Macaca mulatta: one gene and its partner. The protein of the gene in region 1 interacts with the protein of each later gene in a biochemical or structural test. Links are inferred from orthologs where the notes say so. Each region holds a gene or a part of one and is shown in the gene's direction. Other genes may lie near its edges.

Region 1 (4,272 bases):
GGGCACGCGCGGCACGAACGGCGCCCGGACCTGCTCTAAACAAACACCTGTCCTCCCTTGGCTTCGCGAGATTTGGAGCGAAAGCCTAGGCAACAGGGGGCACGTTCTCGCGAGGTTTAGGAAATTTCCCACGGCCGTGTTGTGTCTGAGCCGAGTAGTGGAAGGCGGTGGGAAGGAGGTGTAGCGTGAGACGCGACTGCCCGCATTGGGTGCATGCGCAGTGCCGCTCGCGCGGGCCGCGCCAATCCTGCAGCGCCTTCAGCAGGTTTCGGGCGGCGAATTCCAGTTCTCCGGGTTTTGGGGCTCCCTGCGGGAGGCAGTGCTGGATTGGGAATCTCTAGGAAAGGAAAGGGCAAAGGAGGGGAAAAATGGGGGGCTGCAGGTAGGAGGAGGGGGCGGGGTTCGGGCTCTGCACCTTGCTGTTCAATGCCCGGCGGGGCCAGGTTCGCCCGGGGGCTTCCGGCATCAGGCCGCCTGAAGCGCGATTCGGGCAGCCGGCAGCGTCTTCGGCTGTGCCAGGCCCTCGGGTGGCCCGGTTCCCTGTGCAGTAGTGGCCTCAACACACACCTGGGCTCACACACGGTGGCGGCTGCGATGGGGTCTTAGAGAGGCCATGTGGCACGCGAGCTGCAAGAGCTTTGATCAGGGCCTCTGGCCCGACTCGGAGGTGGGAGAATGTGGCTCTCAATTCCAAGGCAGTTTTCCCTTCTGGAGAGAACTACTCCGCACCCTGGCGTGTGTCTGCGAGGTGGCCATTAGGGGTGTCTTTCCCAGAGGCCTTGACTTGACCTCATTTCACACCTAAGGAGAACGCTAAGCCGAGAGAGCTCAACTGCAAAAGTTTTCCGTTTGCGGAGCTCTGGAAGGGCCTCCTCATTAGCATGGGGGTGTAATGAATGAAGACAGTTCCCGACGTGTCACTTGCCCGAACCCCAGGCACCTCTGACGCTCCTGCACCTAACGCCGAAATTAGCATAAAGGAGGCGCCCAGGGAACGTCTGAATGAATGAAAGGAGCTGGGAACCCAGAGTGAGCGGGAAGCCGCTTGGAAAACACCCATTGAGGAGGTGTTTCATCTAGGCCTGTGAAACGCGGCCCATTTTCCCAGGACCCCTCCTCCCTTCTCCTCGGCCCCGCCTCCTGACCCCTCCATTCCCCGTCCCCGTAGTAATCCCCTCCGGTTTTCCTCAGTCTCCACGTACGTCCCTCAAGGCGCGTCCCAAAACCTGGATAACCGGAGCGCTCCCCATGGACCACACGGAGGGCTCGCCCGCGGAGGAGCCGCCTGCGCATGCTCCATCGCTTGGGTAGGTTTCCAAGGGAGGCAGCGAGCAGGATCCCCTACTCTGCGGGCGGCGCGAGGCGTCTGGCTCTTCGCGGCGGCGGCGAGGGGAAAGGGAGCGCGGGGGCTGGGTGGAATCGAGGAGTGAGGAAAAAGGGAAGGGGCGGGGGAGAGGGACCAGGGAAGGCGTCGGGGGGAATCTCGCGAGGGTTGGAGTTTTGGCGAGAGTTTGTGGAAGATGGCGCCTGTTGTGACAGGGTAAGTCCGAGGGAATCGGAGCGCTGGGAACCGGGAAAGTTGCGGGCGTCTGGCAGCCCGCGGCGAGCGGCGGATTCGGGGGCCGCAGCGCGCTTGGCGTCCGGGGGCCCGCGGGGGCGGCGTCGCGTGCGCCGAGCGCGGCGGCGGCTGCGGCGTGTGACCGTGCGCTGCCTCTGCGCTGCCGTGGCTCGGGCTCCGGCGCGTGAGGGCGGGAGGCGGCGGCGAGGCCGGCGGGTGCGGGCGTGAGTGCGGCCGGGCGCGCGGGGCCCTCGGGCGCCGTGCCTCCCGCGCGCCTCCAGCGGGCCCTGCCTGGGGGCCCCGTGCAGCTTTGTTCCTCGCGGCCGTTGTCGCCGCCTCGCCCCGCTAGTGCCCCCGGCCCCGGGCGCTTTGTCTTTCCCCGCTGCCCCCCGCGACTCTCTACCCCCGGCCCTTTGTTTCGCCGCCTTGGGCGCTTTGTCCGACCCGTGGCGCCCCGCATCCTCTTTCCATCTCCTCCCCTCCGCTGTCCTTCCTCCCGTGCCCCTTTGTTGTGCCCCACTCTTGTCGGTAGCCCAGTGACCTGCCACAGCCCGGGCACCAGATTCCTGTCTTAATTGTTCTTCCATTGTCTTTCTCCTGTGGGTCCTCTCTCACCTTTCTCTGCGGTCCTGGATCCCCCCCCCCCGAGGCGTTGTCTCCCCCATCCATGGGCTTATTCTCTCGGCACCCCCTTCCTCTCCCGTCATCGGTTGATTTATCCACTACCCCCGGTGTACGTCTGCTGAACTGTCTCAGCCCCGGAGACTCCATCTGCTGCTTCTAAGTGCACACAGACTCTACGGTTTGTTGTTGTTTTGTGAGTCTGAAAGATGCATGGGATACTTAGTTTCCTCCTCCGCACCCCTTTTTCTCGGGATTTCTTGCACCCCCCGCCCCCCCATCGCCACCCCTTTCTTTCGGGATTAAAGCGTCTCCAATTTTCATCGCCGTCTCTTTAGTGCGGTGGGTTGTTTTGCTTGGAAACAGTAGCCCTGGAAAAAGGTCTGGTCTCTTGGTGGTTCTTGCGTCCCCCGGCCCCCGGCCCCCGCCCCCCTCCTGGTTCCTGACGGCCTAGGCCAAGGGCAGCTGTCTGTCGAAGCTTTGCATTTAGGTTGCCTGAGGATGATTGGAGGGTATCGTAGGACGGTTAGAAGGAGGCTCAAGATGTATATATGTGTTTTTCTGTTAGTGTTTGAGAATAGTTTCAGATATCCACAATGGATATTCATTTGGCATGTGAGTAGGAGTTGAGTGAATTTCCATGTTGAAAACTTGTGAGTGTTGGGGCGGAGAATTTCAGCATTTTCTAGAAATCTGGATTTAGAATTTATCAGAAACTCCTGCCTCATAAGGAAAAGGAGAGGCATTCCGGTTGGGAATTTTATATAAATGTTTTACTTTTTCTTAATCATTAGATGGTTTACAGTTATGTGCGTTTTTGCTGCTCTGTGGATGCGTGACAACCCTTCTGTCCCATCACTGGGGTTGAAATGAGGACAGCACCGAAGAGTGCAGTTTCTGATTGATGAATACTGCTTCTAGGATCTTTGTGGAAGATATTAATCAAATGCAGTAAAAAGTATACGTAAAGATGTATATTATATATATGTAATAGCCTGTAGTGAGATTATTTTAAAGACACTTCCTAGTGTTAAAGGACCCTTGAAGTGTTCTTACTGTTTTGGTAATGCTAAAAGCTTGGGGTTGTGTGAATGGGGATGGGGGGTGTGGTGTGATGTCTTTTAATGAGTTATTCTCGTGCTAGGAATAAGAGTTATTATATTTACCAGGATTACTATGCTGAATGTATTCTTCAAGAGTGAGTTTGTTTCTACTAGTTGGTCTCTACTTTTAGAAGGTATGTTACACATAAAATCATTTGGAGTGTCATTTCATTTACAAACTGAAGTTCTACAATAGTAAAGTGTTGTTTATAGAGGACATATGAGATCTACTCTAACGAGTATTGGAGCATTGGAAAGTATTTTTTTTTTCTGGCTGTGATTAGAATTAGTAGTTTGAGTTTTAATTAATGGAAAACCATGGTTTCATGATTGATACTTAAGTTTTTTTTTGTGAAAATCTGCAGTCTGGGTCGCATGAGTGGGTTTTACCAATAATCTTATGTCTCCCTTACTTGTTCTTGTACATAATGATTCTTTTGAAGGTAAAATCTTAAGCTCACTGGTTTTCTGACTGGGAGCAAAGTGTAAATACTGTGTAATAATGGAGGGTATTTTGCTCTGACTTGTACCTGTAGAATGATTACACAGACATGATAAAAGCGCTTTTACCATTTGAGTTGCGTTTTTCTTTCTAAATCGTGTAAGACTTTTACTTTGTGGTGAAATAAAACTGCTTTTAATTAAATTATAACAGCAGCATATTTCGAAATCTGGATGAGTTGTGGCTGGAGAACTTTCATTCTGAGTATTAACTATTAAAACTTTAAGTTTTATTATCCATGCATATTGCTGATGGATCTGTGATTATATTTTCAGAAAATGAGACTTGCAGTATTTTCACATCTGTACTGTTCAAAACACTTGTAGGCTTTAGATTTTAAGCAGTTAGATTTGTTAAAAAAATTACCTATTGTCCTATACCAACGGATTTCTGTCAATTTTTTTTTTTAAGTGGGTAAGATCAAAATTGGTTTGGTTGAAAGGCCATTCTTGCCAGATGTAATTCATTAAATAACCTTTGGCACCCTT
Region 2 (3,807 bases), on another chromosome or scaffold:
GAGGGAAAGGTCATTGACCACACTCCTGTGGAAAAGTTGAAAGCCAAGCTTGATAATGACACTATTAAATCTTCAGCCCTGGACCAGAAACTTCAGGTCTCTCAGACGGAGCCTGCAAAGTCTGACTTGTCTAAACTGGAATCTGTTAGAATGAAAGTACCAAAGGAAAAGGGGCTTTCAAGCCATGTTGAAGTGGTGGAGAAGGAGGGCAGGCTTAAAGCCAGGAAGCACCTCAAGCCTGAGCAGGCTGCAGACGGGGTAAGTGCTGTGGATCTGGAAAAGCTGGAAGCAAGGAAAAGGCGCTTTGCAGATTCCAATTTAAAAGCAGAAAAGCAAAAACCAGAGGTCAAGAAAAGCAGTCCAGAGATGGAGGATGCTCGCATGCTTTCAAAAAAGCAGCCTGACGTATCCTCTAGAGAGGTCATTCTGCTGAGGGAAGGAGAGGCCGAAAGAAAGCCTGTGAGGAAAGAAATTCTTAAAAGAGAATCTAAAAAAATCAAACTGGACAGACTTAATACTGTTGCCAGCCCCAAAGACTGTCAGGAGCTTGCCAGTATTTCTGTTGGGTCTGGCTCAAGGCCCAGCTCAGACCTACAAGCAAGACTGGGAGAACCAACAGGTGAATCTGTGGAAAATCAAGAAATCCAATCAAAAAAACCCATTCCCTCAAAACCACAGCTCAAACAGCTACAGGTATTAGATGATCAAGGACCAGAGAGAGAAGACGTTAGGAAAAACTACTGCAGTCTTCGTGATGAAACACCTGAACGTAAATCAGGCCAAGAGAAATCACATTCAGTAAATACTGAAGAAAAAATTGGCATTGACATCGATCACACGCAGAGTTACCGAAAACAAATGGAGCAGAGTCGTAGGAAACAGCAGATGGAAATGGAAATAGCCAAGTCTGAGAAGTTTGGCAGTCCTAAAAAAGATGTAGATGAATATGAAAGACGTAGCCTCGTTCACGAGGTAGGCAAACCCCCTCAAGATGTCACCGATGACTCTCCTCCCAGCAAAAAGAAAAGGATGGATCATGTTGATTTTGATATCTGCACCAAGAGAGAACGGAATTACAGAAGTTCACGCCAAATCAGCGAAGATTCTGAAAGGACTGGTTGTTCTCCCAGTGTCCGACATGGTTCCTTCCATGAAGACGAGGATCCCATAGGCTCCCCTAGGCTAATGTCAGTAAAGGGGTCTCCTAAAGTAGATGAAAAAGTCCTCCCCTATTCTAACATAACAGTCAGGGAAGAGTCTTTAAAATTTAATCCTTATGATTCTAGCAGGAGAGAACAGATGGCAGATATGGCCAAAATAAAACTATCTGTCTTGAATTCTGAAGATGAACTAAATCGTTGGGACTCTCAGATGAAACAAGATGCCAGCAGATTTGATGTGAGTTTCCCAAACAGCATAATTAAGAGAGATAGCCTTCGAAAAAGGTCTGTACGAGATCTGGAACCTGGAGAGGTGCCTTCTGATTCTGATGAAGATGGTGAACACAAATCCCACTCACCCAGAGCCTCTGCATTATATGAAAGTTCTCGATTGTCTTTTTTATTGAGGGACAGAGAAGACAAGCTACGTGAGCGAGATGAAAGACTCTCTAGTTCTTTAGAAAGGAACAAATTTTACTCTTTTGCATTGGATAAGACAATCACACCAGACACTAAAGCTTTGCTTGAAAGAGCTAAATCCCTCTCTTCATCTCGTGAAGAAAATTGGTCTTTTCTTGATTGGGACTCCCGATTTGCAAATTTTCGAAACAACAAAGATAAAGAAAAGGTTGACTCTGCTCCAAGACCTATTCCATCCTGGTACATGAAAAAGAAGAAAATTAGGACTGATTCAGAAGGGAAAATGGATGATAAGAAAGAGGACCATAAAGAAGAAGAGCAAGAGAGGCAGGAATTGTTTGCTTCTCGTTTTTTACACAGCTCAATCTTTGAACAAGATTCCAAGCGATTGCAGCATCTAGAGAGAAAAGAGGAAGACTCTGACTTCATTTCTGGTAGGATCTATGGTAAGCAGACATCTGAGGGAGCAAACAGCACAACTGATTCCATTCAAGAACCAGTAGTTCTGTTCCATAGCAGATTTATGGAGCTCACACGAATGCAACAGAAAGAAAAAGAAAAAGACCAGAAACCCAAAGAGGTTGAGAAACAGGAAGATATAGAGAATCATCCCAAGACCCCAGAATCTGCTCCTGAGAATAAAGATGCAGAACTAAAAACTCCACCTTCCGTTGGGCCTCCAAGTGTCACAGTCGCAACTCTAGAGTCAGCCCCATCAGCACTAGAGAAGACCGCTGGTGACAAAATGGTAGAGGCGCCTTTGGTAACAGAAGATAAGACTGTGGAGCCAGCCACTGTCTCAGAAGAAGCAAAGCCTGTGTCTGAACCTGCTCCTGCCCCTGTGGAACAGCCGGAACAAGTGGACCTGCCCCCAGGAGCAGACCCCAATAAAGAAGCTGCTGTGATTCCGGCAGGTGTTGAGGAAGGTTCATTAGGTGACCAGCTGCCTTATCTGGATGCCAAGCCTCCAACTCCCGGGGCCTCGTTTTCCCAGGCAGAGAGCAATGTAGATCCAGAGCCTGACAGTACCCAGCCACTTTCAAAACCAGCTCAGAAGTCTGAGGAGGCCAGTGAGCCAAAGGCTGAAAAGCCAGACACCACTGCAGATGCTGAGCCTGATGCAAACCAGAAAGCTGAAGCTGTTCCTGAGGCTCAGCCCCCAGCTTCTGAAGATTTAGAGGTTGATCCTCCAGTTGCTACAAAGGATAAAAAGCCAAACAAAAGCAAGCGTTCAAAGACCCCTGTTCAGGCACCTGCAGTAAGTATCGTGGAGAAGCCCGTCACAAGGAAGAGTGAGAGGATAGACCGGGAAAAACTCAAGCGGTCCAATTCTCCTCGGGTAGAAGCACAGAAGCTTTTGGAATTGAAGATGGAGGCAGAGAAGATTACAAGGACTGCTTCTAAAAACTCTGCTGCAGACCTTGAACATCCCGAACCAAGTTTGCCTCTTAGCCGAACAAGGCGCCGTAATGTAAGGAGCGTCTATGCAACCATGGGTGACCATGAAAACCGCTCTCCTGTCAAAGAGCCCATTGAGCAACCAAGAGTGACCAGAAAGAGATTGGAGCGAGAGCTTCAGGAGGCCGCGGCGGTTCCCACCACCCCTCGGAGGGGAAGGCCTCCAAAGACACGCCGGCGAGCCGATGAAGAGGAGGAGAACGAGACCAAGGAACCTGCAGAAACACTCAAGCCACCTGAGGGATGGCGGTCCCCACGGTCCCAGAAAACTGCAGCTGGTGGTGGCCCCCAAGGGAAAAAGGGAAGAAATGAACTGAAGGTGGATGCTGCACGTCCTGAGGCCACCACTGAGGTGGGCCCCCAAATAAGTGTGAAAGAGAGCCCCACGGAACCCAAGGCTGCTGAGGAAGAGGCAGGGAGCGAACAGAAATGTGACAGAAAAGATGCTGGCACAGACAAAAATCTCCCTGAAGCCGCCCCTGTTGAAGTTGTAGAGAAAAAACCGGCCCCTGAAAAAAACTCCAAATCAAAGAGAGGAAGATCTCGAAACTCCAGGTTAGCAGTGGACAAATCTGCAAGTCTGAAAAATGTGGATGCTGCTGTCAGTCCCAGGGGGGCTGCAGCACAGGCAGGGGAGAGGGAACCCGGGGTGGTGGCAGTCTCCCCTGAGAAAAGTGAGAGTCCCCAAAAGGAGGATGGTTTATCATCCCAATTGAAAAGTGATCCAGTTGATCCAGACAAGGAATCAGAGAAAGACGCGTCTGCCTCT

What was found.
Region 2: the proteins of RBPJ (region 1) and SPEN form a complex in vitro, tested with the Homo sapiens proteins (2 studies listed by BioGRID and IntAct). The link is inferred for Macaca mulatta from reciprocal best matches to the Homo sapiens genes RBPJ and SPEN.

What each region holds. Positions count from the first base shown.
Region 1 is NC_133410.1:25,359,567-25,363,838, forward strand, and holds the start of RBPJ (recombining binding protein suppressor of hairless), read left to right. Parts: upstream 1-1,406; 5' UTR 1,407-1,520; coding exon of another isoform or gene 1,521-1,540; intron 1,541-4,272. UniProt on the Homo sapiens protein: Transcriptional regulator that plays a central role in Notch signaling, a signaling pathway involved in cell-cell communication that regulates a broad spectrum of cell-fate determinations.
Region 2 is NC_133406.1:225,091,338-225,095,144, reverse strand, and holds part of SPEN (msx2-interacting protein), read left to right. Parts: coding exon 1-3,807. UniProt on the Homo sapiens protein: May serve as a nuclear matrix platform that organizes and integrates transcriptional responses. In osteoblasts, supports transcription activation: synergizes with RUNX2 to enhance FGFR2-mediated activation of the osteocalcin FGF-responsive element (OCFRE).